7 linked regions of the Nothobranchius furzeri genome follow. The protein of the gene in region 1 interacts with the protein of each later gene in a pairwise test. Links are inferred from orthologs where the notes say so. Each region holds a gene or a part of one and is shown in the gene's direction. Other genes may lie near its edges. The genes, in order: lnx2a, c16h10orf88, nmd3, phykpl, scly, serine/arginine-rich splicing factor 11 and tubb5.

Evidence for each region.
Region 2: the proteins of lnx2a (region 1) and c16h10orf88 interact in binary tests that used the Homo sapiens proteins (3 or more experiments, as listed by UniProt). The link is inferred for Nothobranchius furzeri from reciprocal best matches to the Homo sapiens genes LNX2 and C10orf88.
Region 3: the proteins of lnx2a (region 1) and nmd3 interact in a two-hybrid assay, tested with the Homo sapiens proteins (3 studies listed by BioGRID and IntAct). The link is inferred for Nothobranchius furzeri from reciprocal best matches to the Homo sapiens genes LNX2 and NMD3.
Region 4: the proteins of lnx2a (region 1) and phykpl interact in binary tests that used the Homo sapiens proteins (3 or more experiments, as listed by UniProt). The link is inferred for Nothobranchius furzeri from reciprocal best matches to the Homo sapiens genes LNX2 and PHYKPL.
Region 5: the proteins of lnx2a (region 1) and scly interact in binary tests that used the Homo sapiens proteins (3 or more experiments, as listed by UniProt). The link is inferred for Nothobranchius furzeri from reciprocal best matches to the Homo sapiens genes LNX2 and SCLY.
Region 6: the proteins of lnx2a (region 1) and serine/arginine-rich splicing factor 11 interact in a two-hybrid assay, tested with the Homo sapiens proteins (3 studies listed by BioGRID and IntAct). The link is inferred for Nothobranchius furzeri from reciprocal best matches to the Homo sapiens genes LNX2 and SRSF11.
Region 7: the proteins of lnx2a (region 1) and tubb5 interact in a two-hybrid assay, tested with the Homo sapiens proteins (3 studies listed by BioGRID and IntAct). The link is inferred for Nothobranchius furzeri from reciprocal best matches to the Homo sapiens genes LNX2 and TUBB.

What each region holds. Positions count from the first base shown.
Region 1 is NC_091747.1:51,103,466-51,107,597, reverse strand, and holds the start of lnx2a (ligand of Numb protein X 2a), read left to right. Parts: upstream 1-1,332; 5' UTR 1,333-1,502; intron 1,503-1,525; exon of another isoform or gene 1,526-1,894; intron 1,895-3,299; 5' UTR 3,300-3,496; coding exon 3,497-3,900; intron 3,901-4,132.
Region 2 is NC_091756.1:51,770,885-51,774,841, forward strand, and holds the start of c16h10orf88 (ATPase PAAT), read left to right. Parts: upstream 1-1,157; 5' UTR 1,158-1,225; exon of another isoform or gene 1,226-1,358; intron 1,359-1,819; 5' UTR 1,820-1,853; coding exon 1,854-1,996; intron 1,997-2,138; coding exon 2,139-2,330; intron 2,331-2,600; coding exon 2,601-2,670; intron 2,671-3,072; coding exon 3,073-3,264; intron 3,265-3,460; coding exon 3,461-3,589; intron 3,590-3,957. Other genes in the region: asb3 (ankyrin repeat and SOCS box protein 3), read right to left, coding at 1-151, 552-762. UniProt on the Homo sapiens protein: ATPase that regulates mitochondrial ABC transporters ABCB7, ABCB8/MITOSUR and ABCB10. Regulates mitochondrial ferric concentration and heme biosynthesis and plays a role in the maintenance of mitochondrial homeostasis and cell survival.
Region 3 is NC_091753.1:52,720,024-52,723,411, forward strand, and holds the end of nmd3 (60S ribosomal export protein NMD3), read left to right. Parts: intron 1-1,724; coding exon 1,725-1,795; intron 1,796-2,456; coding exon 2,457-2,590; 3' UTR 2,591-2,888; downstream 2,889-3,388. UniProt on the Homo sapiens protein: Acts as an adapter for the XPO1/CRM1-mediated export of the 60S ribosomal subunit.
Region 4 is NC_091741.1:97,210,117-97,214,372, forward strand, and holds the start of phykpl (5-phosphohydroxy-L-lysine phospho-lyase), read left to right. Parts: upstream 1-1,456; 5' UTR 1,457-1,475; intron 1,476-2,472; exon of another isoform or gene 2,473-2,639; intron 2,640-4,256.
Region 5 is NC_091756.1:60,348,215-60,352,238, forward strand, and holds the start of scly (selenocysteine lyase), read left to right. Parts: upstream 1-1,224; 5' UTR 1,225-1,364; intron 1,365-2,723; 5' UTR 2,724-2,730; coding exon 2,731-2,822; intron 2,823-2,907; coding exon 2,908-3,017; intron 3,018-3,098; coding exon 3,099-3,199; intron 3,200-3,281; coding exon 3,282-3,459; intron 3,460-3,539; coding exon 3,540-3,667; intron 3,668-3,778; coding exon 3,779-3,934; intron 3,935-4,024. UniProt on the Homo sapiens protein: Catalyzes the decomposition of L-selenocysteine to L-alanine and elemental selenium.
Region 6 is NC_091748.1:59,490,342-59,494,369, forward strand, and holds the start of serine/arginine-rich splicing factor 11, read left to right. Parts: upstream 1-1,228; 5' UTR 1,229-1,417; coding exon 1,418-1,539; intron 1,540-4,028. UniProt on the Homo sapiens protein: May function in pre-mRNA splicing.
Region 7 is NC_091745.1:74,453,510-74,457,631, forward strand, and holds the start of tubb5 (tubulin beta-5 chain), read left to right. Parts: upstream 1-1,322; 5' UTR 1,323-1,422; coding exon 1,423-1,479; intron 1,480-3,424; coding exon 3,425-3,533; intron 3,534-3,675; coding exon 3,676-3,786; intron 3,787-3,867; coding exon 3,868-4,112; intron 4,113-4,122. UniProt on the Homo sapiens protein: Tubulin is the major constituent of microtubules, a cylinder consisting of laterally associated linear protofilaments composed of alpha- and beta-tubulin heterodimers.

The sequences.
Region 1 (4,132 bases):
AATTTACGTTAATTTACGAGGCATTTCTTGTTCACTTCGCCGAGAGGTCCTTCAATCGCGGACCCTGTTTTTAGCTGCCCGGAGCAATGCCTGTTCAGTTGCAAAATCATGTTGAAAATAAGTTATGAAACCAAACTACATTTTTTATTTACAAGTAGATATGTTTGTGTATTATGTATTGATCTTTTTTAATTAAAATAATTGATATTTTTAAAAGTTCAATAAGTTATGGGGCACCCCTGGAAAAACATTTACAGCTGATTGTTTTAGCAACATTTGGCCACAAATAACTTTAAAACAAACATAGAATCAAACAAATATATAAACACACTTTGTTAAAAAAAAGGATTTATACTCAAATCGAAACGTAAAATGTGACATTTAAACTTGTACATTTTTTATTTGATTAAACATTTTCCATTGGGAACTAAGCCAACTTAATTCTTTGGTAAATTGTAAAAATAATTTAAATACATACAATGGCTTAATCAAAAGTAAAGTGATAGTTACAGAATATCATCAAGCAAGATATTTTAGTAATCTAGATTGTGATACATTAAAGGACAATAACAAACATTTTTATTTAGAAGTAATCTTCTTAAAGAAGACATATTATGCCTTTTGCATCCTTTTTGTGCCGCCATGTGCACTCTGCCTCTATAAACGCTCCAAACATGCCAATGTGTGGTTGTAGAAATGTTGTGCCTAAAACAAGCTATTTGAAATTGTCCCCAATTGTGACATCACAAGCAGGCCCAGTGCCAATACTCGCATTGCGCCCTGCAGTCTTCAGCAAAGTGCACTTGGAGAAAGTGTGCAGTAAGGCTTCGAGTGCGTGGACTACAACTGTGCAAATAATTGCTGAAGTGAGACAGGGAGCATTGCGTCATGAAACGCAACGCATGCCGAGATGCTGGTCCTGTGATACTTTTTCAAAAGCCTTTATTAACAACTTTTAAACAAACAACCCATTATTTGAAATAAATTTTAATTAATTGCTGCTTTGTCTAAAACATTCAGAGCATCAACTGATTGTCCCAAAACTAACTCATTCCATTAGAAAATATTCAGAAAAGGAACTTGAACCCTTTCTCCTGCAGCAATGACTTGTGGGTAATACACTTCACCCAGCACTGTAAGAATACTTTTGAGGCAGATAATTAAGTATATATTTGTTCTGTTTTTTTCTATTCTATTCTATTCTATTCTATTCTATTCTATTCTATTCTATTCTATTCTATTCTAATTTTTGTTCTGATCCTGTTTTTGAACAGGCGGTCGGTGTAAGCCACCTCTAAACTCAGCTCCGTAGACTCCTCCCATCACCTTTTGATTGGCAGCGGTGGGCGGGATCAGCGGCGCCAACGGTACGGGGGCGTTTTCTTGCGGGCTTGCGGAGCTCTCCGTCGGTTGCGGCGAATGCGTGATCGACGCCCCGCAGCTGATAATTGCTCCCCGCTTTGGGGCCCGAGTGGACGGCGCGGAGGAGCCGCCGGAAGAAGGTAAAACATCCATCACATCTGGAGACATCCATCTCCTGCATGAGCTGTGTCAGCGAGCGGGGTTGATGCTGTCGCCTCTTCTGTCCTGTCCTCTCGCGCCTCCGCTTCTGCAGGATGGGATGAAGTCAGACAGCTGGGGAGGGAGGTGAAAGAGGGGTGCGATGATTTTAATAACGATGTTGACTTAACCGGAATATGACACTGCAGTTTATGCAAGGCAATCTGGGACGACGACACCGGGAGGAGGAGAAAATGCTAGATTTAATCAAATCAGTGTCTGTTTTTGTTGTCACCCCTGCACGTCTGCCTGGAGAAAAACAGACAATTGAAACACACCTTGCAGGCCTCTTCTAAATAAATTTAAAAACATGGATGAAGAGATCGGGTCGAACGTAAGATAAACTTGAGTTTTAAAATCTGTGGCCTAAATTATGATGCCATTTCTGTTGGTTATTGCATTTCTGCACGTGCTAAAACCTTAGTTTGTCATTTGTGTGTAGACAAAATTCTGTCATTCGTTAATACAATACAAAGCATGCATGCATTCATACTTCTGCAGAGGACTATTGTCCTGAAAAAGATCAAAGTGCTTTGAGAGTTCTAAAATCCCAAAGATTATTTTCAGGGCCTGCTGGATAAAGCTCGTGTGCTTGTTTGCGTATGCGCGTGCAGGTTTACGCCTGCATGTCTACACGTCTGTGTGTGATGTGGTGATGTCACAGCTTTGTTACAGAAACAGAGAAGCCTTGTGTCCTCATGATTAATTCATGTCCAGCTGCGGGATAGAGACAGAAGCAGCCAGTCACACACAGACAGGAGCATGTGCTTGAAAAGGAGACAGAAATAAGGGGCTACTGGTCCCGTGGCCAAGGAGACGGTAGGGACAGGTTTGTCAGGAGACAATCTGTGCAGATCAAATCAAACGCAAGAATAGAAATGAACCGGAGGGACTTTCATCCTGCTCTGCGCAGTGTGACGAGCTTTCAGCATCTTGCTGGGAGAAGTGCATCTGTTGTTGCGCCTCCTCTGCATCCTTCGCTGGCTACACTCTGAATGTCAAGCCCCACTGAGCAGAACAGGATGCAGGTCGTCATGGAGACAGGAGCAGACCCTTTGCTGGAACAGAGGCAGGTAGTCACTGTGGCTTGGCCACTGAGCAGGGAGGCACGCCCTCTACTGTCCGCTGAAGGCATCGGGCCCTCTGGGGTGTTGGAGGTCTGGAAGGCTCCGAGTGTGAACTCTTCTGCAGCAGCTCCAGGGACTTCCTCTGTTTGTTTTATTTCAAGACTTTGCTTAAGGCATGTTCTCTTCTTGCTGTGGAGGAGATCAAGTTCATCCTTTGTAAATGGTCCAAGCCAAAAATATCAAGCGCCTAAACTATTTCTGCCTTCATGCTTTGCATTTTTTGTGAAATTTCTATTCCCTTCTTGGCCCTTTCTGTTTTTTTTATTATTTATTTATTTTTTCACAAATCTACCTGACCTCTTTCACCCATCTTCAAACCTCCTTCTCTCCTTCGCGGCTCTGCCCTCACTACCTCCTCCAGCTGATTTCCCAATCCCGCTTTCTCTGATCTGTGTCCTCTCTCTGCTTCAATCCCAGATAATTCCCTCTCGGCGAATTGGAAGATTGGAGTAGGCGAGAGCAAAAGAGAGATTATACTGTCAGATTAGCAGACAGGAGCAGCAACACATAATCTCAGCAGATTCCCACACAGAGTTCGGACTCACGGAGACACGTGCACACAAATCATTTGCCACATGAATAAATTCCCATAATCAGACACTTGTTTTGCAGAAACAGCTGTTGAAGCCTCCTGCTGTGCCCTCTGACCTGCTGAGTAATGCGCCACCGGCCGCTTGAGGGCATTCGTCCTCTCTGCAACCTGTCGAAGCTTATGGGATAGGAGTGCTCCCCGCCAACCCACCTTTCCCATCCCTGCAGCACCACTGGAGCCATTTGTGCCAAAGCTGAACTGTATTGACGGAGAAGCTATGGGCAGCCCAGGCAGTGAAGTGGATGTTGCCGGGCCAGTGGAGCCAGCGCTGGAGGCCCTGTGTCCAGAATGTGGCCAGATCCACCGCAGCTGGGAGAACCACCTGTATAATTACCGCCTGGAGGTGGATGACGACCTGGTGTGCCACATCTGCCTGCAGCCTCTGGTGCAGCCTCTCGACACACCCTGCGGGCACACCTTCTGCGCCCGCTGCCTGCGCAGCTTCCTCCAGGAGAGGGACTTCTGTCCTCTGGACAGGACACGGCTGCAGCTGCAGGCCTGCCGCAGATCCAGTATCCTGGTGCACAAGCTGCTGGACAAGCTGTCCGTGTCCTGCCCTCTGAGCCCTGTCTGCTCTCTCAGCATGCCACGATGTGACCTCGAGGCACACCTCAAACACAGGTAGGAAAGGTACAGACATTATCAATGGATGCATGCATGAAAACTATAAACAACTGTGCATGCATGAATTTAGAGGGTAAACAGCTGCATTTGACTGTAAAACTCTTGATTTTTGAAATACATGAAATAAGATCCTGCGATGGATTGGCTCTCTGTCCAGGGTGTACCCCGCCTGATTGCCCATTGACCGCTGGAGATGGGCACCCCCCCCCCCCCGACCCTACCGAGACAA
Region 2 (3,957 bases), on another chromosome or scaffold:
GACAGGTCATTAGTCAGCTGGTTAATGTCGGCATGTGCTTTCAGGAGGAGTCGAACCACTGCCAGGTGACCTCTCTGCGCTGCCAAGTAACACGCAGATTCTCCCTCATGAGTCAAAGAGTTCACAAAATCACGACTTCTAGAGAAACATCCTACACACAGAGAGATGGGTGGACACCATAGAATGAGAAATCAACATGAAATGCAGACCCGACTCTAAAATCTGATCACAACCCACTTTTGGTGGAAATAACACAATAACCTGAGTCTGCATTCATTTCAACACAGAGCCCAAGCTATGTGTGTCAGTTATGAACAATTAAAACACAGTAACTCTAATCAAGTACATAGTCACAGGTGAAGCCAGCAGAAGCTCAAATTCAGCAACTTTAGTGAAATTTGGATGAAATCACTTTCAAATACATTTTTTGTCTAACAATCAGTTTCCTCTTGAGTTTTATGTCAGAGTGGCTGTGCAAAAACACCAAATTATATCTGTCGAACGTTGCCATTTTATTAACTTTAGCGAATAAGAAAAAAAAGCTACCATACCTTTCTTACAATTAACGGCAGATAATATTTCCAGCACACACTCCTTACTGCCAGCTGCAGACGCCTCATGCAGAGCATTCCAGCCGCGGTTATCTCGAGCATCCACACTGAACCCTCTCTCCATCAGCCTCCTCAGCTGTCTTCTGCTGCCTGAACGGGCGGCAGCAGCAACACGGGACACAGTGTCTGCGTAGCACTCTGTGAAGTCCATTCTCTGCTTTAGAAAACAGGCAGTTTTTCAAAAGTGTGAAAATGAATGAAAGAGAAGAAGAAGAAAAGAGAAAGCTAAAGTCCTTCAGAGATCCTGAAGTTAAGCTACCCTAGCTTAGACAGTGTTGAAATGACCACTTAAATCACAATAGTTCACATTTGTTGTTAGAATTAAAGAATAATATATAACACGATTGGTTGAATCTATTTTGGACTGAAAGCATCAAACACAAGGTAATAACAAAACAACATAGTTTATCAAGGCTACACTAACTGAGCATCTTTTACTCAAAAACACGTCTACTTAATGTGCAATAATACTCGCTAAATTCATTGGGTTGTTAAAAATAAAGGGATTTTCTTACCAAAACAAAAGTGCTGGTGGGTGGACTGAGTCGCTGGTTGATGACGTACCTTTTTTTCCGTCGCGTGGTACAGCGTCACAAATGCTTCAGATTACTTAGGTAAATTTTCAGTTTATTTTTGTTATTTCTCTCTGAAAGCTCGGCCCAGGGACGCTTTTAATCACGCCTGGAGACATGAGAGGAAGGAAAGCCTGACTGAAGCCGATTTTGTCTCAGCTGACGCAGTTTTACTGTAAACAGCCCGTTATTGTTAACGTTAATGTTAGCTAGCTGCACGATGAAGGAACTAAAATCTGGTTCAGTTCTGCTTTTGTTTAGAAGTAGAGATAAAACTGCAACCCTTCAAATGCTCTTACAGCATTTTGGTGCTTTTTTCATTCTGGGGAGCAACTTGTTATTTTCCGTTTTAAAAAAATGTATTTCATTCAACCACATTATTTCTGGCCAGCGTATGTAAATCACTTCGTGTTTATTCAGATAACGCCACATTAATAAGAAAGATAATATTATAAGCAGCTTGTATTCAGGCACTCATTTGATTATGTCCTTGAATAAAGGGCTAACTAAACGCTGCTGAATCTAATTTTTCTAAACTGTCTAACATTTCCTTCAGAATCCCTACATATACTCTGTTATTATTTGGACTTAATGCAGAATATTTCTCAGTTGTGTCTTTTTTCTCTTGTGCTTAAGGTAACATCCCACCTGCAGCCCCACCGGTAGCATCATGGTGGACATCAGTGTAAAAAGAGCAGCTGCTTGGGTGTGTCAGACTCATGACCTGGCAGATATCCTTCTTCCTGTTCATCTCAGCACAAAAGACAGTGAAGACGAAGATCTTAGTCTGACGGAGAAAGAAGAGACTGACAGGTTGGAAGCCTTTTATCAAGGCAACATGTGTATTTCTGGGTGTGCATGCTTTCTTTTGCAAGCAAATGTGTTTCTACCAGCAGAGGATGGAAAGATTGATGTTTGCCATGAATGGTGCTTTATCCTTTTGCGATCTTTGCAGGGTTGTTTCTGCGCAGTTGGAGCAGGTGGAGGAAGGATCGCCCTGCATCCTCACTCTCAGCTGCAGGTCCAGCTCTGATACCATCAGCCGCCTGATGGTCGTCAGCGAGGCTCGAACCATGGAGGTGTACAACCAGATGGAAGAATACTGCGGGACAGTGCGAGGCATAAAGGATAAAACAATCCAGCTTGGGTAGATGAACCCACACTGAAATATTAGCAAGCAGAACACTGTGCAGCTGTTTAAATGACCACTTCAGATTTTACAGCTATATCCCCATTCTAGGGGGTATATTAATTTTTATACATCTCAAAGTGTTTGTGAAATCTTAGATATCTAATATTTATACTCATGCTCTCTAAAGAGACCCCTAAAAATACAGCCTAACAAGCCTTCAAAAGATATTGTAGTATTTTTTGAGTTTGTCAACTAATTGATGATCTCTGTTCCTGTGGATCACAGTGAAGACAGAGGTCCTGTTTACAAGAAGCAGCTGATCCTTGAGCATCCATCATCAGCTTGTGAAGTGAAGGTGAGACGTGCCAAAATTAAGATTCTGCATCAGTACAGTGTTTTTATGTATTAGAATAGACTTCATTGATCCCACAGTAGGGAAATTCACTTGTTACAGCAGCACCAACACTTAAGAGAATCATTTGAAGAAAAATAATAACAAAGGTACATTTATATACACATATTGTAACATTTAACCACTAAAAACCACAAATAAAAATGAAAAATTTGGGTTCCAGAACTATGCAGCATATTGTAAGGGACACAGACATACTATATAAATCAGGTATTGCACAAGTACTGAACATAGTTTTGCATTATCCTAAAGAAAAATTGGATTGAGCAATATTTTAATTTAATTTTTAAATAAGTTTGATTTGATTCTTAAACTGGCTCTGCATTTCTCTGGCTGCTTTCCCAGTTGCTGTCCCTAGCAGGCAGAAGTAGTGTTGTGGTGTGTCGTGTTGTTGTGGGCCTTCAGGAGCTTCAGCCTGGCCCGGCTCATGGCCCTGGTATAGACCTGCAGCAGGTGCAGTGTCTGGTTGAAGAGATGGGAACAAGTTTGTCTCCTGGAGCCCAAAACCTCCTGGATATGGTGCAGTTCCAGCAGAAGGTGGGAGACTGACCCTCTCTGAGCTCATGGTACCACTTTGGCTCCGTCCTCTTTGATGTGTTGATTCCTGCCTGCTAAACTGACATCCTTCTTAAAAACATTTTACAGTTACATCAGCTTTGATACTCAGATCAATGAAAAATCAGGGAATAATACAAAAAAAGAGCTGCGTTGAAACAGAAATGTGTTTTTCCAGAATCAGATGAGCTCTCTGAGTGGGTTCCTGCCTCTTCTGATGGGCGGTGGAGCTTTGTCTGCCTTAGCTGGAGGAACCGGAGCATCTACGTCAGCTCTCAGGAATCCTCCTCAGCCATCAGGCTTCCTGGTATGGGTGCTGATTGTTTTTTATTACCCGAAAAACTCTGATCTCTCACTGGAACTGAAATTACATCCTTTCATCATTCACTGTTACTAATTTTTTCAGGCCAATATTCTGTTTAAATGACTTTTGTTATTATTTATATTAGAACGGTTATGTTCTGGCTAAGTCTTATGATCCAGGACATACAGAATCAAAGGAAGAGGGTTTAAAAGGAGAACTAAGGGAGCGCCGTCGAAGTGAGGCGAGGGTCTGTACAGTCACGTGACATGGTGGTCGATTTAGTGGAGGGATGACTGGAGCTGGAGAGGGAGGTGGTCAGGCCTGAGGAGGGTTCAGGCTCGAGAGAGGTTCTCTGTAGAGGAGGGGAGTGC
Region 3 (3,388 bases), on another chromosome or scaffold:
AAAGCTTGGGTCCACTTCACTAAATGCGATGGGTAACTGGGTGATGATGAAACCAGCGACAACGATCTAAGTGAGACATCCTCATCTTAAAGGGGCATTATGAAAGTTTGACAGCCAAAACATGTATAGAAATAATAAATGTCTTCTTCATACATTCTCCTGCAATGCCCTGGTCCTGTAGAATGAGCCCTGGCATTTTTACTGGGATTGCCTGTTTTTCTGTAAAATCACAGAAAAAGAGAGTTGCTCGGGTCGAGCAGGCTGCTTCATGCGTGTTCACGCTCAGGCATCGCCCTCTGAACCGTTGTTTGAACGTTGTTTCAGCTATCATGAAGGATATAAATGTTACAGATACAGAAGACGCCACTGGCGATTTAGCTCGCCCAGTATGATGTGGGGCTTTCGTGCAGAAGACCCGGGTTCGTTTCTGGATGTGAACAGTTGTTTTAGAGTTTCTTTTTTAGATTAATGATTTATTGTTTTTAGAGTAAGATGCCCACATTTTTATTTGAAACTCGCCGAACGGCATTGAATTCACAGATAAAAAAGATGTGGGTTCATCTTTCATTTTGGAACAATTTTTCAAGCAAGGGAAGGGAATGATCTGAGCATGCAGGAGGACTGACCCATCTTAAACCTTTGTCGGCTGTGCTGAAGAGAAAGGTACAGAACCAAATTATTTAATTAATTAGCTGCACGTTCTCCTGTCCTCTGTCCTCCGGGCCACACACACACACACACACACACACACACACACACACACAAAGGAACTGTCAGCTCTCAGAGCTGACGCTTCACAGAGCTTCGTCTCAGCTGTTATTTTCGTTAAGGAGTGTGCACGTACAGCATGCGCACCTCGTGCACGAGCCTCCTATTGAAGCTGCCGTTACGCTTTTGGCCCGAGGGGGCAATCACGAGCATAAAAATTCAAAACTCCGTAAAGTCCCTTTAAGCGTTCGCTTTCTCCTCTGAACTCCAAATTTCGGACTAGAAGAACATGAACGCGCTCTAAAGTTTGGCTTCACTTTACTAAATGCGACGGGTGATTGGGTGAAGATGAAACCAGCGACAACGATTGAAGTGTGAGGCATCATCATTTAAATCTGCTCCAGCAGCTAAATAAACGGTTTAAGATAACGTTAGCTTGATATATTAGCTTCCATTGTCACCATTGTTATCAGCTAATGGTGCGTTCACTTTCTGCTTGGAAATTCTAACTTCCCAGTAGGAAAAATCAAATGAAAAGGACGGCAAAAGGAATGAAGATACACAGTAAATTAAGTTCACAGTAAAGATGTTTGCTTCAGTTTAATTATCAGCTTATAAAACTACAAGGACGATGTTAAAATACAAACAGTTGTATGTTATTTATCGTGATATTTATCAAATATGGTTATTGTTGAGAAAAATATATATTTAATTATAAAAGAGAATTAAAATATTAAACACTCAAAAGTATCTAAAATTGGTACCGTTAAGTACCGGTATCGATTCCTAGGTACCGGTAATTAGTACCGAATCGATTCAAATGTCAAAGGTACCCATCCCTAGTCCCACACACACATTTAGTGACACTAGAGTGCAGATCAAAGGGTTAAATGGTGCAATAATCCTTCGTTTTTTTTTTTAATTACTGGTTTTTAACAGTTAAAATGTCCCGTGGATGTTTTTGATCTTCTGTGGCAGATAAACTGGCTCTTATTTTCATTTTTCCCATTAATCAGACAATACCAAGACTTCCTAGAGGACCTGGAGGAAGATGAGGCTTTGAGGAAGAACGTCAACATCTACAAAGGTGAGCAGCTTCTTAAAAGCTTTTTACGTTTATATTTTCAGACTGTGGCTCATTTATTGACTCTCTTTAGTTTGTTCTCAGAATTTGTCACATTATCCGTCAAATATGTTTAACAGGGTATCCGCAGGTCCTTAAAAAGTCTTAAATTTGCTTTTCCAAATTTAAGGCCTTAAAAATCCTTAAAAATGACAAATAATCCTTAAATACAGTTTCCAAGGGTCTTAAATGACCAAAGACCCAATAAACTAAATTCTTTTACTTCTATAAAATTTTTGTGAATTTCTAGTTTTGTGTTCAGCATTTTTTGTGTGTGATGTTGGCGTAAGCGGAACCGCACACATTCAACTGGTTGTGAAAGGGGGCTATTTTTAGATGAGCACATTAGCTGGTTATGCTAGCGGGAGCTTGCGCCATGGGGAAATGCAAGTTTAATGGTAACTGGATGGCTAATCCCACGTTCGCGATGTGGTTAGCGCCGGTTCCAGGCAATAGCTGGAAATTATAGCTTAAATTTAATTAAAAAAATAGCTTAAATTTGGTCAAAGTGACCTTAAAAAAGGTCTTAAAAAGTCTTAAATTTGGCTCCCTTAAACCTGCAGATACCCTGGTTTAATCAGATAGACTGAACAGATGGTCATTTACTACACTTTCTTTACCTCAGATGCCTCCAAGATCCCAGTGGAGAGCGACACGGATGATGACGGAGCCCCTCGCATCTCCCTGATGGAGATGATGGAGGAGCTCAGTCTGACAGATGCCACAGGAGGAGAGGGCGCTGACATGATGACCGAATAACCAGCTGCTCGCCTGCGTGGCGCTGATGATGCAGTGAATTACAAATGTCCGTTTTTGACCTCGCCACAAACCGATGATGTTTGATGATGAAGACATTCTGACTGAGGTTCATAAACTGGGACTCGTCGTCTAAAAAAGCACTTTCACTACAAAAGAGCTTCAACTTTTACATCTGGTCTAATAAAACACCTCGTATCGTTTCTACTCTCACTCAGCATTTAAAACGGGTGTTTTAAAATGAGTAAATGTTATGAAATGTGAAAACAAAGTGATCAAAATAAAAATTCACCCATCATGACACATTTTTATTTGTTTTCTGTACCGGAGCTCCCACCAGCAGAGGGAGCTCTGTCCTAGAAAAATGTTTAAAGTTTTACATTCAAAACACACACACTCACTCACACACACACACTCACACACACACACACACACACACACACGAGTCAGTTAATGGTGTCAGTTAATGGTGTCGTTTGGCTACTGTGGAGGATATGCAAAAACCTCTTCAGCTGTGGTGTGTTTAAAGGAAATGGGAGTCTGTAAAATCTGGAATACTTGATACGACTTGGATTTAAATATGCTTTAAATGACAAAATGAACAGCCCCTTGTTTGTATTTTGTAGTGCAAACACGCATGTTTGCACTTCTTAAACATGTTTATATCACCAGGAGCTGTACGATATGCAAAAAAGTTTAAAAACATGGCGCGGCTGCAAATCTTTCAGCAGTTCTCACTGATGTGTAAAATATGTAAATAATGGATCAGGCTGAGTGTAACTCTCGCTGTGGGTGTATGGA
Region 4 (4,256 bases), on another chromosome or scaffold:
AATGCAATCATAAAGCATTTCTCCACTCTGGAGTCCCTACGAGACAAAAATGACCCAATGGACAGATGAAAGGATGAAAAAACCACCTCAGTAGTGTCAGTTCAACGCTAAAAAAAATACTTCTGAAATATAGTTGGTCCATAAGTGCCTTAGGGGATCTGTGACCAAAATCAAGAGGCTAAATAAAGATTACTCTTTGTGAAATGTTTTATTCTGTCTCAGGTGAATAATAGTAAAGAGTAACTAAGAGAGTGTGTGTGTGTGTGTGTGTGTGTGTGTGTGTGTGTGTGTGTGTGTGTGTGTGTGTGTGTGTGTGTGTGTGTGTGTGTGTGTGTGTGTGTGTGTGTATAATCTTAATTACAACTAGGGATGCACCGATACGATACTGGTATCGGCATCGGTAAAGGTTAACCAATACCAATGCAATTGCTTGAAAATGGCTTCACTGTAACTTGTCATTTCTGTTCACCTAATATTTTAGTTTTGTTATGATTTCCATTCATATATTTTACTTTTTATCTACCTCACAGTCTCTCTGTTGAAAGCAGAGAAGAAAATAAAATCTGTATTCAAATCATTGCATTTTTTTGTGTGGTAGTAGTATCGTTATTGGTAATCGGCATCGGTGAGTACTCAGATCCAAGTATCGATATCGTATTGGTTTGGAAAAAAAGTGGTATCGTTGCATCCCTAATTACAACACCATAAATCTTTATCTGTGATACCAAAACTCACCTGGAGAACGTCGTGTGGTGTGCCAGTCAGGTCTATAACTTAGTTTAGGCTGTCAACAAAGCAAAAAGTAAACAGTGTTATACAGCTGGCAGCTCTGCAGGTGAGCAAACAAAAACACTTCATGATTTTTAAGCATCATGCAAACAAAGAATTCATCAAAACTTTTTGATTAATAAAACTAACTAATGTGTGCTCTCTAGACCACTTTAGCTTATAGAAATGATCTGCTGTGTGATTTCAGAACAATTATTTCCATTTAAAGCATCATTTATTTGGTTTTTGTGTTTCATTGCCATCTCTTTTCTCAGAAATCATAACTTAATTTGTGATATTGTCCAAAAACAAAATGCTGTTCAACTCCAATCATTATTCATTTTAATATTTATCAAGAATATGAGAATAATAGTGTTGGATCAATTTAGGTACCTATGCTTCTAGGGAGAAAGTTTCATTCTAAAGTTTGTATGTACACTTGTTCTTCCATCATTTCTCTCCCAGCTGTAATAAAATAGTACAATTGAGTATTTTCTTTATAATCAGTTTGATATTTTGTTAATGTGGGAACCCAGAAAGATGTAATAAAATGTTTCTTATATTATGTTTAACACTTGTTCAGACACCTAAACACACAGAAGGGTTGTGATTATTAACATTAACATTATTATGATTATACAATTTGTTTGTGGGTGAAAGTTCAAAAGAACAACTTGTACCTCAGCAGCATAAAGACAAAAACTCATGTAAGTGATACTCAGAATTCTTCAAGTGTAACTTTTTTAATTATTCTTCAAACAAAACAGTTAGACTGTTGCAGCTAAACTAGACTAAATGTAAAATTAACAGCAGACAGAACGAGCAGCCTGCAACCGTTAGTGATGGACATCTTTAGAGCAAACTCATTCAACTTTCTCGCCTGCTGTTGTTTTCTGGTTTGCAACTTTTTGGTAAACTTTAGTTTGGCTTTCACGCCTCACTCGATATAGAATTTAACAGTTACTGTGTCCCAACCGCTCAGAATCAGGAGGTAATGTGGAAATACGTAATGAATGGATATTTTTAAACGGTGGCCAAGTGGTTACCGTTAACCCACAAGTTAGCTGACGGTGCTAACTAGCTAGTTTCTAGTCCATTCCACAGACACCGGGTTCCTGAGATGTTTGCTGGTTATTTTATCTGCAAGTGCAAGCTTTATATGTATTTTTGGGGTGGTTTACGTAATTTTTGCCCAGTTCGGCATCTTTGTTCTGAAGGAATGTAACAAACACAAACTTCTGAACCGCGTTTGAGTCAACTAACTAAAAACATAGCACGGCGGCTAGCTACCCGCTGGTTGCTAACCCGAACCCAAACACCTGGGGACTACAACTATTTCTTTCAACCTTCCAACTTTCTAACTCTCAACAACATCATTATTATTTCTTGCGACCAACTCATAAATATGTCCACGGAACTTATTTTCTATTCATATCTGAGACGTTTGCAGCGATGCTAGCGTTAGCTTGCCTGCGCCGTTAAGTAGCGTGTGGCTGAGTCTGTGGGAGCGGAGCAGGCAGAGAGGGGGAGCCCATTTCGTCCGATTTGTTATCAGCGAGTGGCGCTACAATGTGAAATATCTGACCCAGAAGCTGAGCAAATAAAGAACTGCGCTGGGAAATGTTCATCTCCAGCTAGATTAAATCCAACTGAATACGCTTGGTCTCCAGTACCGAAAAGAGGGAAAAAACGAGGACTATTTACCCCAAATCAACTCTTTGAAGAGTGGCGAAACAGTGTGCGTGCGTCGGTGCTCCCTCTCTCCCGATCGCCATGAAATTAGACAAAAGAGGAAGTGGCTTGTTGGTGAGGGGGGGTCAGAGACAGGCTGGGGAAAAAAAAACAGAGAAGCGTCCAAGCACTGGAAGGAGCGCCCTCACCTTCCACGGCGGAGCGACGAAATATGTCAGACACGCCAAAGTCTTGTCTGGTGTAACTTCAGCTCAACGAGCCGCAGGGTTGGTGTAGAACTTTAGCTGCGTTCGTGACTCGGGGTGGGTTTGAAGCAACAAGTCTCAAATCAGACTCACTGAAATGAAACTTGATCTCTTTTAATTATTTAGTTTAACAGTTTGGACATTAAAAAAGTCTTTAAAACGTATCGTTAGTGTTCCTGGTAAAGGCACTTTTTAGTTAATTTTAGTTAAGATCAGCTAGGAATTTACAGATTTATGGTCACATTTTGCATCTTTTCAATGGAATTATTTTTTCATTTAAAGATTTCTTTGGGCAATTTTAAAGTTCGATTTTTATCAGATATGAGTGGTCGCCCGGTCATGGACCAAAAGCTCATGAAGGAAATCCGACACGAACATGAATATAAATGTAACTTTGTTAATAGACGATTACAATTTATGTCTAAATGTGTTATTCAAGTTTAATGTGGATTTAAACTCGGTCCATTGGTCTCATTCATCATGCAAGTCTTCTGCTTTTTCACCACTAGGCGTGGTACCTACCCTAATGACCTTCTCTCATGGCTGGGTGATTTAATTACAAAAACAAGGCAAAAGGACTGTTAGCAAATAAGAAAAAGAAAGCAATCTCTATTAAGTTTTATTCATACATAAATTGTGCAACAAGTATACTTCCATCTGTAAAACACAAAAATCTTTTCTGAAAGGCCACCAGGTCATCTGCATCACCACATCCAATCTCACACACACACACACACACACACACACACACACACACACACACACACACACACACACACACACACACACACACACACACACACACACACACACACAGTACTGGCTGGACATGTGCGCTCACTCTCATCGCTGTACATTGTGTTATGGTGTGCCAGAGAGTCCAGCTGCAGCCCAGATTCAGCTATTCAATCATCTGTTCCAGTGCATCGTTCCACGCATTCAAACCTATCTGAATCAGTGCAAACGAAGACTACAAAAGTGTCTGGCTGGGAAATAACCAGAGCACCGAGGCTTAAGGCGTGGTACGTTAACAGTATCATCAGTATTAATGTGGCCAATGTGTGTTGACGTCAAAACAAGGACAGAAGTTCCACGCAGACAAAAGAAAATACAAGTTTAGCAGTTACAACCACAACTTCCCTCTGACAACAGAGTTGATCCACACAAACAGGCTGCGTGTTTATGTATCTACGGGGGTTACGGCTTATCCTGGAATGTATTGTGTTTGGTGTACTGGAGAGAACCTACAGATTTTAGGCTACTTCAGTGTTTGACTCCACATCAAGCTAGGTTTAAAGAGTTCTCATTCAGTTTTAGATGAAGAGATCAGGATCCGACAGCAGCCTACTGCAGCCTCTCACTGGAGAGTGAAACATGGAATATTTGCATGTATCATGTAAGCACAAAGCATGTCTCAGTAAATGCTCACTTTCATGTTTTGTTCGATATGCAAGACTACTGAGAGGCAAGTGTAGGATAGTTCCACTTAAGACTTAGTATAAAATGATTTAAAATCTGTGCACATGAAAGCTTGCTTATTTGCTCGTGCAC
Region 5 (4,024 bases), on another chromosome or scaffold:
ATTGAAGATTACAGGAATGTTACATACGCAGTTTGCCATGTACATACGTCAATGATCATGACAGGTGAAAATAACAGCCTTGTTAGCGGACAGTTTAATACATCACTAGAACATACATCCTTGAGATTACCAGGAACATCCTGATATATTCATGACAGGAGAAGATACATTCACTGGTACCGAGAGGCACTGAGTGGAGATGGAATGTGCACACTCCTTTCTCTTGTGCAGGAGAAGATACACAGCTATTAATCTTTGTGTGAAGGCCTTGAGTATCTGAGCGAGTTTCCATAGCATAGAATAATAAAATGAGCTTATAAGGTAAATATATATATATATTGCCTCGTTAGGCAGGATCTAACATGTCACAAGAACTTGTAATTCTTAAGATAAGCAGAAACATCCTTGGTAACCTGGTACAAGAAGAGACTGCAATGTCTCACTCCCTTTTGGAGTTCCTGCAGCTGTTTTAAGAGCTTGTGCAGGACAGTATAACATGATCCCATAAAAAGAGTAGCATGTAAGAATGAATAATAAAAGAGCTTATATGAGAGTTACATATATTTTCAAACGGTACACGTTGAAAGAGGTTCTCGTGGCCATCAACGATTGGCGGTGTCGCGAGAGGCTTTCGAACACCTTGTGGAAATGGGTCTGCCAACGAGTGTCATTACCAAACTCCTTGGTGTATCCAGAGCAACTCTATTTAGACGGATGTCTGAAAATAATATATTTATTTATATATCTGTATCTGCCACATACAGTAAATGCAGTGATGAGGAACTAGATTATTTTATCACAGTAATTAAGAGCAACATGCCAGATGCTGGGTACAGGGTAGTCCGAGGCGCTCTACTTGCCCAGGGACATAGAGTACAGTGGGACCGACTGTATGCATCCATGCATCGTGTGGACAGTGCGGGTGTACTTGCTCGAATGACACATCTGGGATGTGTAGTGAGAAGGACGTACACAGTTCCTTGCCCAAAGTATATGGTGCACATTGACACCAATCACAAGCTCATCAGGTAATGTCTGTGTGTAATTGGAGATGTTATTTTTTGTTTTGGGAGTTACATTTTTAATTGTCTGTGTTTTAACGGTCTATCTATCTATCTATCTATCTATCTATCTATCTATCTATCTGTCTGTCTGTCTGTCTGTCTGTCTGTCTGTCTGTCTGTCTGTCTGTCTGTCTGTCTGTCTGTCTGTCTCCATGAGTGAACCATGGAGGACAGTGACGATAACAACAGCTGTGTCCCTTTAAGACGAGTCATTCTGCAGCAGCGTCTCATATGTAGCTAGCTAATCATTGACACGACGGTAACATCATCGTTCAGGACATCTTTACATCCTACCTCAAGGTCAGGCACGAAGCCCAGACTACTTCATAGCCTTTACTGTCTGTGGAAGCAAGTGATGCAGCTTTACGTCTTTGACGGAGATGCGGCGTGAAGTGAACTAAAGGGCGAGTTAGCTAAGCTAGCTTGTAGCTAAAGTAAACACACGGGGCACTGATTATCTGAAATATCTTCATGGATCCTTCATGGTTGTGTCCGAACCTCCCCACTGTTCTGGTTGATCCGCTCAGGCGTTTGTTACAGCACACGTAACTTTAGCACACATGCTAGCTAACTGTTGACAGAACGGTGATGAGTGAGAATGAGTCGCAGCAACAACCAGAAGGATAAAAGTTACAACCTGAAGGCATTTCTTATCGTCTTTAAACAAAACTGCCCCATTTACATGTATTTTTTATTTAGTAAATTTACAAATGGCACCTTGACAATGTTAAGTTCAAAACTTAAATTCAAAAGGAGCAGTTAATGTAACATTTGTAAATGTCCAGTAAAAGAGAACAACAAGAGACAAAAGAACATGAAGAACAAGTACAATGAGGGCACAGCGTAAATCATATAGAATTAGGAAATCACTTTGGAAGTTCAGCTAACCCCATTTACATTTATTAATCAACCATTTCTAAACAGAGCCGGGTAGGTCAAGCCGAGTTGGCATTTAATGTTAGAAAGGAGCTTCAAAACATGTATTATTAAAATTACCCCCATAATGTCACACTTTTCTTAAATAAATTATATGATTAAGTCAGTCGCTGCATAGAGCTTTTTCCTCGCGATATCTAAAAGTACAGGAGTGGTATTTATTATGATCATTGTGGACATCTGAAATAAAATGTTAACAAGGAAACATCACGTCTAAAATATGTTAAATATAAGGTAAAATAATTCTAGTATACCACAGTAATCTAAGTATCCCCTAACAGTAAATGTAATGGTGTTCTTATGTGTGGTTTTTAGATATATTTCATTTCACATCTGCCTATTTGGGGTTCTGCAGTAGGGCTGGGCGATATGACCTAAACTCAGTATTGTGGTAAATTGAGGATTTCACCTCAATTATGACAAATGGACGATAACTACAGGTATGTGCAGAAAAAAAAACTGTCCACTAGATGGGGCTGTCACGTGTATTATGTTGAGTCATGTGACTAGCTGGGTGGTACAGACATGAATGTCACCAACCTACTCCCATCTTTTCATTTTTGTTATCTAATTTATTCACATGGGAAAAACGATAGAGATTAGAGTCGGAACCTTCGATAATAACTTTTCGATTGATTGCCCAACCCTACATGATAACCTAATATCTTTTGGAAAGATGCCTATATTGTATGTTACAATGGTCTACCATGTATTTGCTTCTAGGAGTAGAATGGCCAGCAAGTCTGATGACATCACCCTGGTGATGGGCCGAACCTTCACTGACCACGATCTTCATCACATTCCAGACATGAATGTAGACCGGTAATACGTTTTAAAGTGGTGCTTTCTCAATTTTTTTATTAAAACATCCCGAAGAAGGCTGAAACAGCTCTGTCTATACCTGTAGGATCTACATGGATTATAATGCCACCACCCCTCTGGAGCCAGAGGTGGTTCAGGCTGTGTCTGACGCTCTCCGTGATGCTTGGGGGAACCCCAGTAGCAACTATGTGGCAGGTGAGGTCCACGTGTCCAAAGTAGGATAAGTAAGCATGACGATACATTTTTATGTTCATACTTTTGATGTTTTTTTTTCAGGTGCCACAGCCAAATCCATCATCAGTCAATCCAGACAGAGTGTGGCCAGAATGGTTGGAGGGAAATCAGAGGACATTGTTTTTACGTCGGGTGGAACAGAGGTAAATTATGGACGAGGCTTTGATCAGAATGATAGTTTTTTTGCATCTCTTTGTAGTTTCTAACAAGTTACTCACTTTGCAGGCCAATAACCTGGTGCTGCACACCGCTTTGGAGCACTTTAAGAAAAGTTGCAGGGCTGCAGAGCAAAGTGAAGGACCTACAAATGGGTGCCCTGGTCTTCCTCACATCGTCACCACCAACGTGGAGCATGACTCGATCAAACTCACAGCTGAGCACTTTCTCGCGGACGGAAAGGCCGGTAGGGGGCCACTCCTCCTCTAACTACCATTGTCTTTCTGTAACAATTCAGGTGAAGTGACTCTCCTGCTTTTGTCATAGATGTGACATTTGTGCCCGTGTCTAAGGTGACAGCTCGTGTGGATGTGGAGGATATTATTGCTGCCATTCGTCCCAACACTTGTCTCATCTCTGTCATGTTGGCCAACAATGAGACGGGAGTCATAATGGTAATAGGAGCCAGCCGGCTGTTGCTAATCCTGAGTCTTTTTTCCAATTCTACCAACTGACTGGTGCAACTGGAGTGACCTGATAAAACTGATGGTTGTTCCTCCTTCTAGCCCGTCCAAGAAATCTGCCAAAGAGTAGACCTGCTCAACAAGCAGCCAGAACGTCTCCGGATCCTGCTGCACACCGACGCTGCTCAGGCTCTGGGCAAAATCTCCGTGGAAGTCCAGGAACTGGGAGTGGATTACCTTACCATAGTGGGCCACAAGGTCTGAGAAGCTTTTGCGCAGCACGTTTCCAGCCTGATCAACATTGGATCAAAAGTGTTAGTGGGAGGTTATTTGTTGAAACATTTTTCT
Region 6 (4,028 bases), on another chromosome or scaffold:
ACCAACGGTCCATATTTTTTTCAATCAGGAAAAACATTTATGTATTTGGATTTCACAATGAGTGTAAACTATTAAAAAAAAATAAAAAACAACAACAGAATAGAAATGCAATTTTTTTCACTGGTTGTTCTTTGTCTAAATAAACTTTAATTAAAATATTTATAATCTGTCATTTGATTTGATACCACATACCTACCTACTATCTATAAGGGATTTACATGTTATATTTAGCTCAACTGGATGAAAACACAACTCAATCCTGTCAAGGGGAAGGATTCTGCTCTCTAGCGGACATAAACTGTTACTACAGGCAATGTTTATAAAGCTAAACAAGACACAACCAACTAGCTTTTCCTGTACGTTCCTTCAAAATAAAACGCACATAAAATACTTTGGGGTTTAAATGAGGGTGAACAACATAGTTGTTCTAAATAACGAGAATGTCAGAACGCATTCCCTTATAAAAACTACTTAACTACTGAAACTTAGTAAATCCATTTTAATTATTTGTGTTCAAAAAGGTTAATTCGACCAGCGCAGCAAGAGCTATCACCAGCTAGCTAAAGCGCTACAAACGTCTCAAATCATACGCTCTCTAGTGGCAAGAAGGTGAAGCGCAGGAATTTTAAACAATACAGTAAATTAAGTTAAAACTTTTAGCTTAAAAGTAAATAAATATAAGAAGTTACAAACTTTTAACAGCATGGGTTTATATTTTTCTAATTAAACATGTCAGATATAAAACTGCAGAAAAGTCATGTCACATTATGGCCAATTCTTACAGAAAATATCCATCCATCCATCAATTTTCGGCCGATTTACCGGGGTCGGTTCCGAGGTCGTGGGGACAGACGCGACCCCGAAAATATACAGAAAATATATTTTGCTAATATTACATTCAGTATACTGTCTGTATTTATGTTGGAGCTCTCTTACATAAATAGGTTATCTATTGACATGTTACAAAAGCCTTATTGTGAGTAAGAGTGACTTTGAAATGCGTTTCATTAACATTTATTTTTGTTGTTTTTTATTTTACTTATGTTTAAAATGTCCATATTTACGAAGTTAAATCTTTTTTTAAACCTTAGTGGGGTTGTACATTGTAATAACACGCTATAACCTACGAGTGTTCTACTTTTATAACCTAAACAGAACCGGACAAGATTTCATTAAAGAAAGTCTAAAATACCAGCGTAAAACACGACACCTGAAGGCAGCACAGCAGCCTCCGTAGTCACGACAGTTGCGGCCATTTGGCAGCTGCATTGTTACCCATCGCATTTTTCATCAACATCCTTTTATCTGGGGGAAGACATTTCTTGTATTCGCTTGATGAATTTGACTCTGTTAATATTTGATACTTTGATTCTAACTTCAAACTTAACTGCTTGCTTGTTTTTACTGCTGTGTAAAAATGAGTTCTAACACGCACGTCATTCAGGTGACAAATGTTTCTCCGAGCACAACGTCCGAACAAATGAGGACTCTCTTTGGATTCCTCGGAATCATAGAAGAGCTCAAACTGTTTCCACCTGAGTGAGTATCCTTGTGCTTTGCTCAGGTAAAGCTTTCCCAGCCCACAGACGGGGCTTCCGGAGGCCTAAAGCGACAAGCAGGCCTCGCTGTCTGCTAATGCTAATATTTACCCGCGCCTCCAGTCGCTCCTCGATCATAACACGCTTCGGGTAAATAAGCTTAATGCTAGAAAAACATTAGGGTTCCCAAACGGTTATTTAAATATCTCTTAACTGAAGTTTGAAACAAAACTTAACGTCTTGGAGAAAATTTGGCATAATATATTCTTGAATTTTATTTGGGTTATTTTTTAATAATAAAGAAAATACGAACGAGATATTGCAGTTTAGACATTTAATTTGATTCAAAAGGATTGTTTCCCACGTTGAGTCCACTACCTGCATGCTTACTGTGTTCCTGCTTTAGCACACGTGGTACAAATTGAGTTAATTAGCAAAAAACGTGCAGCAGAGGTAAATCATTCAATTAAATCGGGTGTTCTGAAGCAGGGGCGCAGCAAAGGTAGCGTTCACCCTAGGTTGGTGCCTGCAGGGACGAAATTTTGATTTCAGAAGTGGGGGGGACACAGCAGGCTTGTGCGGATTTGGGGTGGGGGGTGTTATGTAAAGACCCCTTGACACGTCACGTGCCCATCTCAATAATTTTTCCATCCTTATTGAAGTGCAGTTTTGGCTGTTGACAATGGATAGGCCATTGTATTTATTGTTTTGGGTCTTTTTTTATTGTTTTTGGTGCAACATTTTCTAACAGGGAGTGAGATTCCTTTTTTATTTAATTTTTGTTTGTTATTTTTATTCATTTAGAAGTTCTGGTTCTGGACATTTCAATGTTAAATGAAGGTTTCTTTGTTGCATTTTAAAGGGTGTACTTGCATTATTATGATATATTAACATTATATTAGTGGTTATTTTGGTCTAGATAATGTTGACAATATCGTTTATCATCAACAATTTGTTGGACAAAATATCATCCAGCAAAATGTGTTACTTTCCCAGGCCTAGTCAAAAGTATAAAAATTATTTATACATAAACGGTCCCTCCTGAGTAGGGCTGCAACAAACGATTATTTGGATAATCGATTAATCGGATGGGGTCTCGACACGATTAATCGGATTACATAGGGACATTTTTTAAAACTGCTAGGGAAACGTTATTTTTCTCCTTCCTTCCTTCACTTAAACACATTATTAGAAAACAGTTCAATAGCAGAAAACCAACATGCCATCACCTAAATTGTCTTATAAGGTGTATAGACAGAGACCTTAAGCTACACCTATCTGTGACCTAAAATGCTTGGTCCAAGTTAAACAGCTTAAAGAGCAAGTCAACCCCTACCAGAGTCTAACTCCACTCCCGCTTCATGTTTGAAAAATGCAACACATGCTGTTGCCTGGCAGACCGAGAGGGCGGAGCCGCTAACAAATACACACACACTCAGGCTCACGACAGCATTGTGACATCATAATGTACCAGTTTACATCATAGCATACTTCTTAGCCAATAGCGGTGGCAGATTTAAATTAAAATACAGTGCAGAGTTTTTACCTGACAACGGCACAACACTGCCAGTTTTAGGCAGAATATTTAAATTTTAACTAAGATGCACTGAAGTGCCAAATTATTGACGACACGTGTCTGCAGCACGATTAGACACTCGTTTATTTAGTTTATCAGCAAAAAAAAGTTTATTTGGGGGTGACTTGCTCTTTAAGGGCAATTCTCATCTGTTTTGTTTGATCTCATCTGTAGACATTTATTATAACTGGGGATGTCAAACAACTAATTTTTAAATGAAATTAAACATAGGCTGTGAATTAATCACTATTTCCAAAAATGACTGAAAAATACCAAATAAAACAAAAGTAAATGAATGCCATCCTCCTTGTGATGATGCCCTGGGCAACTGCCTTAAAGTCACATCAAGAAATGCTGCTGATCATTCCAATGATCCCAAATAGACTCACATTAGGACACATGAAAGCAACTGAACCCAAAAATATATTAACCAGTATATAACTACACGCACACAACACGCCTGCAGCAACAGTTAGGACTCCTCCCTCCCTTTTAAAAGCATTTTCGCTTGTGAGGACACTGTGGTTGTAAAACCACATGTTAGTAGTCTGGCCCCGGTGTGATCAACCAGTTTCTGCGGGAATGTGACGGCGGAACCGGTTCGCAGCGGCGCGAGTCCTCCCCCCCCCCCCCGCCTATCTAATAGCGTCGCGCTTACAATTTTATAGACTTTTTTTACGAGCTTAGGGCATGTCTAGCCTGTAATAATCCGGGGCTTGGGTGAATCACTTTTGAAAAGTTTTTTACTTACCCGGACACCGAGCTCTCTCCTTCCTCGCTGATGATTCTGACATGCTTGCGTTTAAGACGCTGCATCATCACCGTAGTATCCCCGTGCCATGCTAAGTCTGACCTACAAACGTTGCATGTCTTCGCCTGATTTAACTGAAAATGCTCCCAAACTTTAGAAGTTT
Region 7 (4,122 bases), on another chromosome or scaffold:
GTACTAAAAGAACGGGAAAAAGCTATTCTGAATAAAAACAATTGTTGCACATTGCAGTCCATACATGAAGAACAGAAATAAAAAAAATCAAATCAATCCTAAAACAACAAGTCACGGTGGATGGAAAACTATAACTATAATTTGATGTTGATGATAATGTTTAATTGTAATTAATTCTGTCAAATAATGTTGAAGCTCTATATTTACCGGTCGATCTAATTCTCACTTATGGTCACAAGCTTTGGAGACCGAAAGAATGAGATTGCGGTTACAAGCGGCCAAAATGAGTTTTCTCTGCAGGGTGGCTGGGCTCTTCCTTAGAGATAGGGTGAGAAGCTCAAGCTCGGTCATCTGGGAGGGGCTTGAAGTAGACCTGCTGCTCCTTCACATTGAAAAGAGCCAGTTGAAGTAGCTCATGCATCTGGTTAGGATGCTTCCTGGATGTTTTCCTGGTGAGGTTTTTCCGGGCATGTCCAAACAGGAGGAGAACCGAAGAAAGACCCAGGACATGCTGGTGGGAATATGTCTCTCACCTTGGGATTCCCTTGGAAGAGCTGGCCCAAGTGACTAGGGAGAGGGAAGTCTGGGCCTCCCTGCTTAGGCTGCTGCCCCCAATGGAAAATGGATGGATGGATGAATAATGCTGATAGTTGTGTTTTTGTGAATGATTGTGAAGCAGAAAATCCATTCATTGATTTTTTTTGTATCTCCCTTTTTCTGTAAGGGTCATGAGGAGCTGTTACAACTGAGCAGGCAAGGGGAATGGGACACTGTAGACAGGTCACAAGTCCATCACAGACATGCAAGTGGAGACAAACAAGACAAGCAACCAATCACACACACACACACACACACACACACACACACACACGTAGGAAAAAGAGTTGCCCATCAAATCAAACTTATACATTTTTGTTCTGTGGGGCCCATCTGTGCCACCTATACACACAATCAGCCAATCAGATCTAGTCATACTGTTTTATTGGTCTAACCAACGTTTTCAGTATATTATCAAAATAAAGAAAAGACAGAGTTTAAAGGAGCTAACTGTCATTCTGCCCCAACTGCACACTGGAATTGCTGCCATCTGTTTTCTCACACAGTCGCAGCGATGATCAGCCCCGGCTGACACTAAAACAGCTGTAATGCATATTTCTGGACACCAGCTGGTAAAATTCTGGTCAATCTCCTTTTCCAATTCCCACTCCCTGATCTGCAGCCGACACGTTCCTCCTCCCCCTGCCGGTCCTCTCGGCCAATCGGCGCGTGCAGAAGCGTGTTGTGGGCGTGGCCGCGCCCCTCTCTGGAGACGCTCCAGCCTTATAAATCCATTGTCCCCCCGGTCTCTTGTCACAAGTCGGCTCGTGCTCGTCCACTTTAATCACATCGCACCTTTTTTCCCGTGAAACCTTCGCACCCATCATGAGGGAGATCGTGCACATCCAGGCCGGCCAGTGTGGTAACCAGATCGGTGCCAAGGTAAGCTCAGAAAATCTGTATAAAATGTTTCTGTGGAATAAAACAGGAGTTACTTTTGCGTTACTTTGTCTAAAGCATTCACAATTACTGTTATATGGATTTATTAACTGATGAAGATAAAGAAATTTACATAAATATGTAATGAAATAAAAAAGTAGTAATGGTCCAGTCTTTGTGAGCACTGCAGTGCACACAACACCGGGTGTGTCTGCGTCCCAGCTCCTAGGATTCAGCCCATCTCAACGCACTGATTTAGGGAAAAAGACAAAGGAAAGAGGGGAAAATGACTCTTTTCTTCTCATGTCAGACCCCCACAGCCTGTGGAGCCTTCACTCTGCTTGCTTTGTCTGGCCCAGGCTGATATGACTGGTGTTTCAGACAATGAGTGGAAGTCTGGATTAAAGGCCTAGTTACCCCCCACCCCCAGATGTCTATGAATCAATAGCACATATTGATTAGATTTGAGTTCTGCAGGCTGCAAAGGCAGACTGCAGGGTGAGCTATTCTATTGGGACGTGATGGAAGGGTGTGGCATGAATAATTGTGAGAAGACAAGTCATTCTCTCCTTTTTTCTGCAAAAAAACACCCTTATGTGTTATTTACTATAATATTCTATTCATCTGATATAATTTGTCATTGCATCATTTAATAGTAAAGTCTAAAATGTTCATCAATGACATCACCCGCCCAGTCTGTCTCTTAGCAGCCGCAGTCTGCAACAATAGGTCTGGGTGGCCCATTATTTCTGCTGTCTTATTGTCTTATTTTTGTTTTACAACTGATCATTTGTAAACGCATGCACACGCTCAAATCCATGCCCTGGAATTAAGAACCCATGAACATTAGCCCGGATTAATGAAGGGTGATCTTTCTGGCTGAGATGTCCTGGAAAGCAGAATCTTTCCTCCCCTAACCAAATTAAGAGAAGGGTGGGGGAGGAATGGAGGAAACAGCTGATGCACAGCGGACGCAAAGTCTCCATTTCCAGTGGCCTTAATGGGCAATAGTTGTCTTCCCAAAGGCACACAACAGATGGCCTTTATATTTTATTAGACATATTTTTATCAAGCTTGTACTGTTAATCATTTTCCCTTGTTCGGGTCACCGCTTTGGCCTGTATGATCGGCTAAAACTACTAGGAGTGGTCTATCAGAGAGCCAACTCGTTTGTTTCCGTCCCCTGGGGGCTCATCGACTCCGATGTGCAGGATTTATGACGGCCAGAGATGCTGAGCGGCTGCACGGTGGTCAAATGGGTCAGGGTGTGGCCTTGCTTTTCCTGCTCGTTGTCCTCATTCTTTCACTGTGATCTTCATCATCACTGATGGGCCGTCCATCAGTTTCTGTCTTCTCACTTCTGCGTCTCTAGCATCGCTCACCCTCGTCTCGTGACATTTAAATGTCAAGATTTGTACTCCACAGCCGTTTGTCTGCAGTGCAGCCGGCGTTAACGGGAGGCTGTAAAGTCTCATTTTGCAGCTGAATACCATAAATCTAAGTGAATGTGTAAAAAAGCAGGAAATGCAGACATGCAGAGGATTTCCTACAGTATCTTAGTGGATTTAATGCGTACCCAGCCTCCCAGAGCTCCGTGGGCTTTTAAAGCCGGAGCAGGACTTGAATACAAATTTAAAGGCCCTCATTGTCCTCGGTGTTGTGTGAGACGCCTTTTTCATTTTCAGTTTGGCCTTCGGAGTGATCAGTGGCTCCTTTGTGCTCCTCCTCCTTCACGTTTTACATATGAAAGCGTTGCATAGCTTTCTGCAGAGTCATGAGCTGGCAGCTTTGGAAATATTTGCAGCTGCTCTGCAGGAAACTGCTTGAATCCTAGCGTATCCTCCAGAATATAAATATGCAAACCCATTGCTGTTATCCTCATTTAAAGTCCCAAAAGGCCTGTAGCTTAGAAGTGAAATGAGTCCCGTCATGTGATTCCTGTCTGCAGTTCTGGGAAGTGATCAGCGACGAGCACGGCATCGATCCCACTGGGACGTACCACGGAGACAGCGACTTGCAGCTGGACAGGATCAGCGTCTACTACAACGAGGCCACAGGTAGACCGTCGTCCTGAAAGGCTTTTCATGACATAAGATGTGCTGTTCCATAATATTTTTGTCCATTGCATTGCTAAGCTGCGATGTAAATGTTACGGTTTCCTCTTTTCCCTTCTGCTCTCCCGTTCACTTTCCTGTGGAGGAGGTAAATATGTTCCCAGGGCCATTCTTGTGGATTTGGAGCCCGGGACCATGGACTCTGTGAGGTCTGGACCTTTTGGGCAAATCTTCAGACCTGACAATTTCGTCTTTGGTGAGTGTCTTCCAGAGAAATCCTTTTACAATATCTGTGATCTGTATGAACTTAGAAAACAAAGTCTCACTTCTTCCACAGGCCAGAGTGGTGCTGGAAACAACTGGGCCAAGGGTCACTACACAGAGGGGGCCGAGTTGGTGGACTCGGTCCTGGATGTGGTCCGTAAAGAGTCCGAGAGCTGTGACTGCCTGCAGGGCTTCCAGCTCACCCACTCTCTTGGAGGTGGGACTGGATCTGGAATGGGAACCCTCCTCATCAGCAAGATTCGTGAGGAGTACCCAGACCGAATCATGAATACCTTTAGCGTGGTGCCTTCCCCCAAGGTGACCCGTC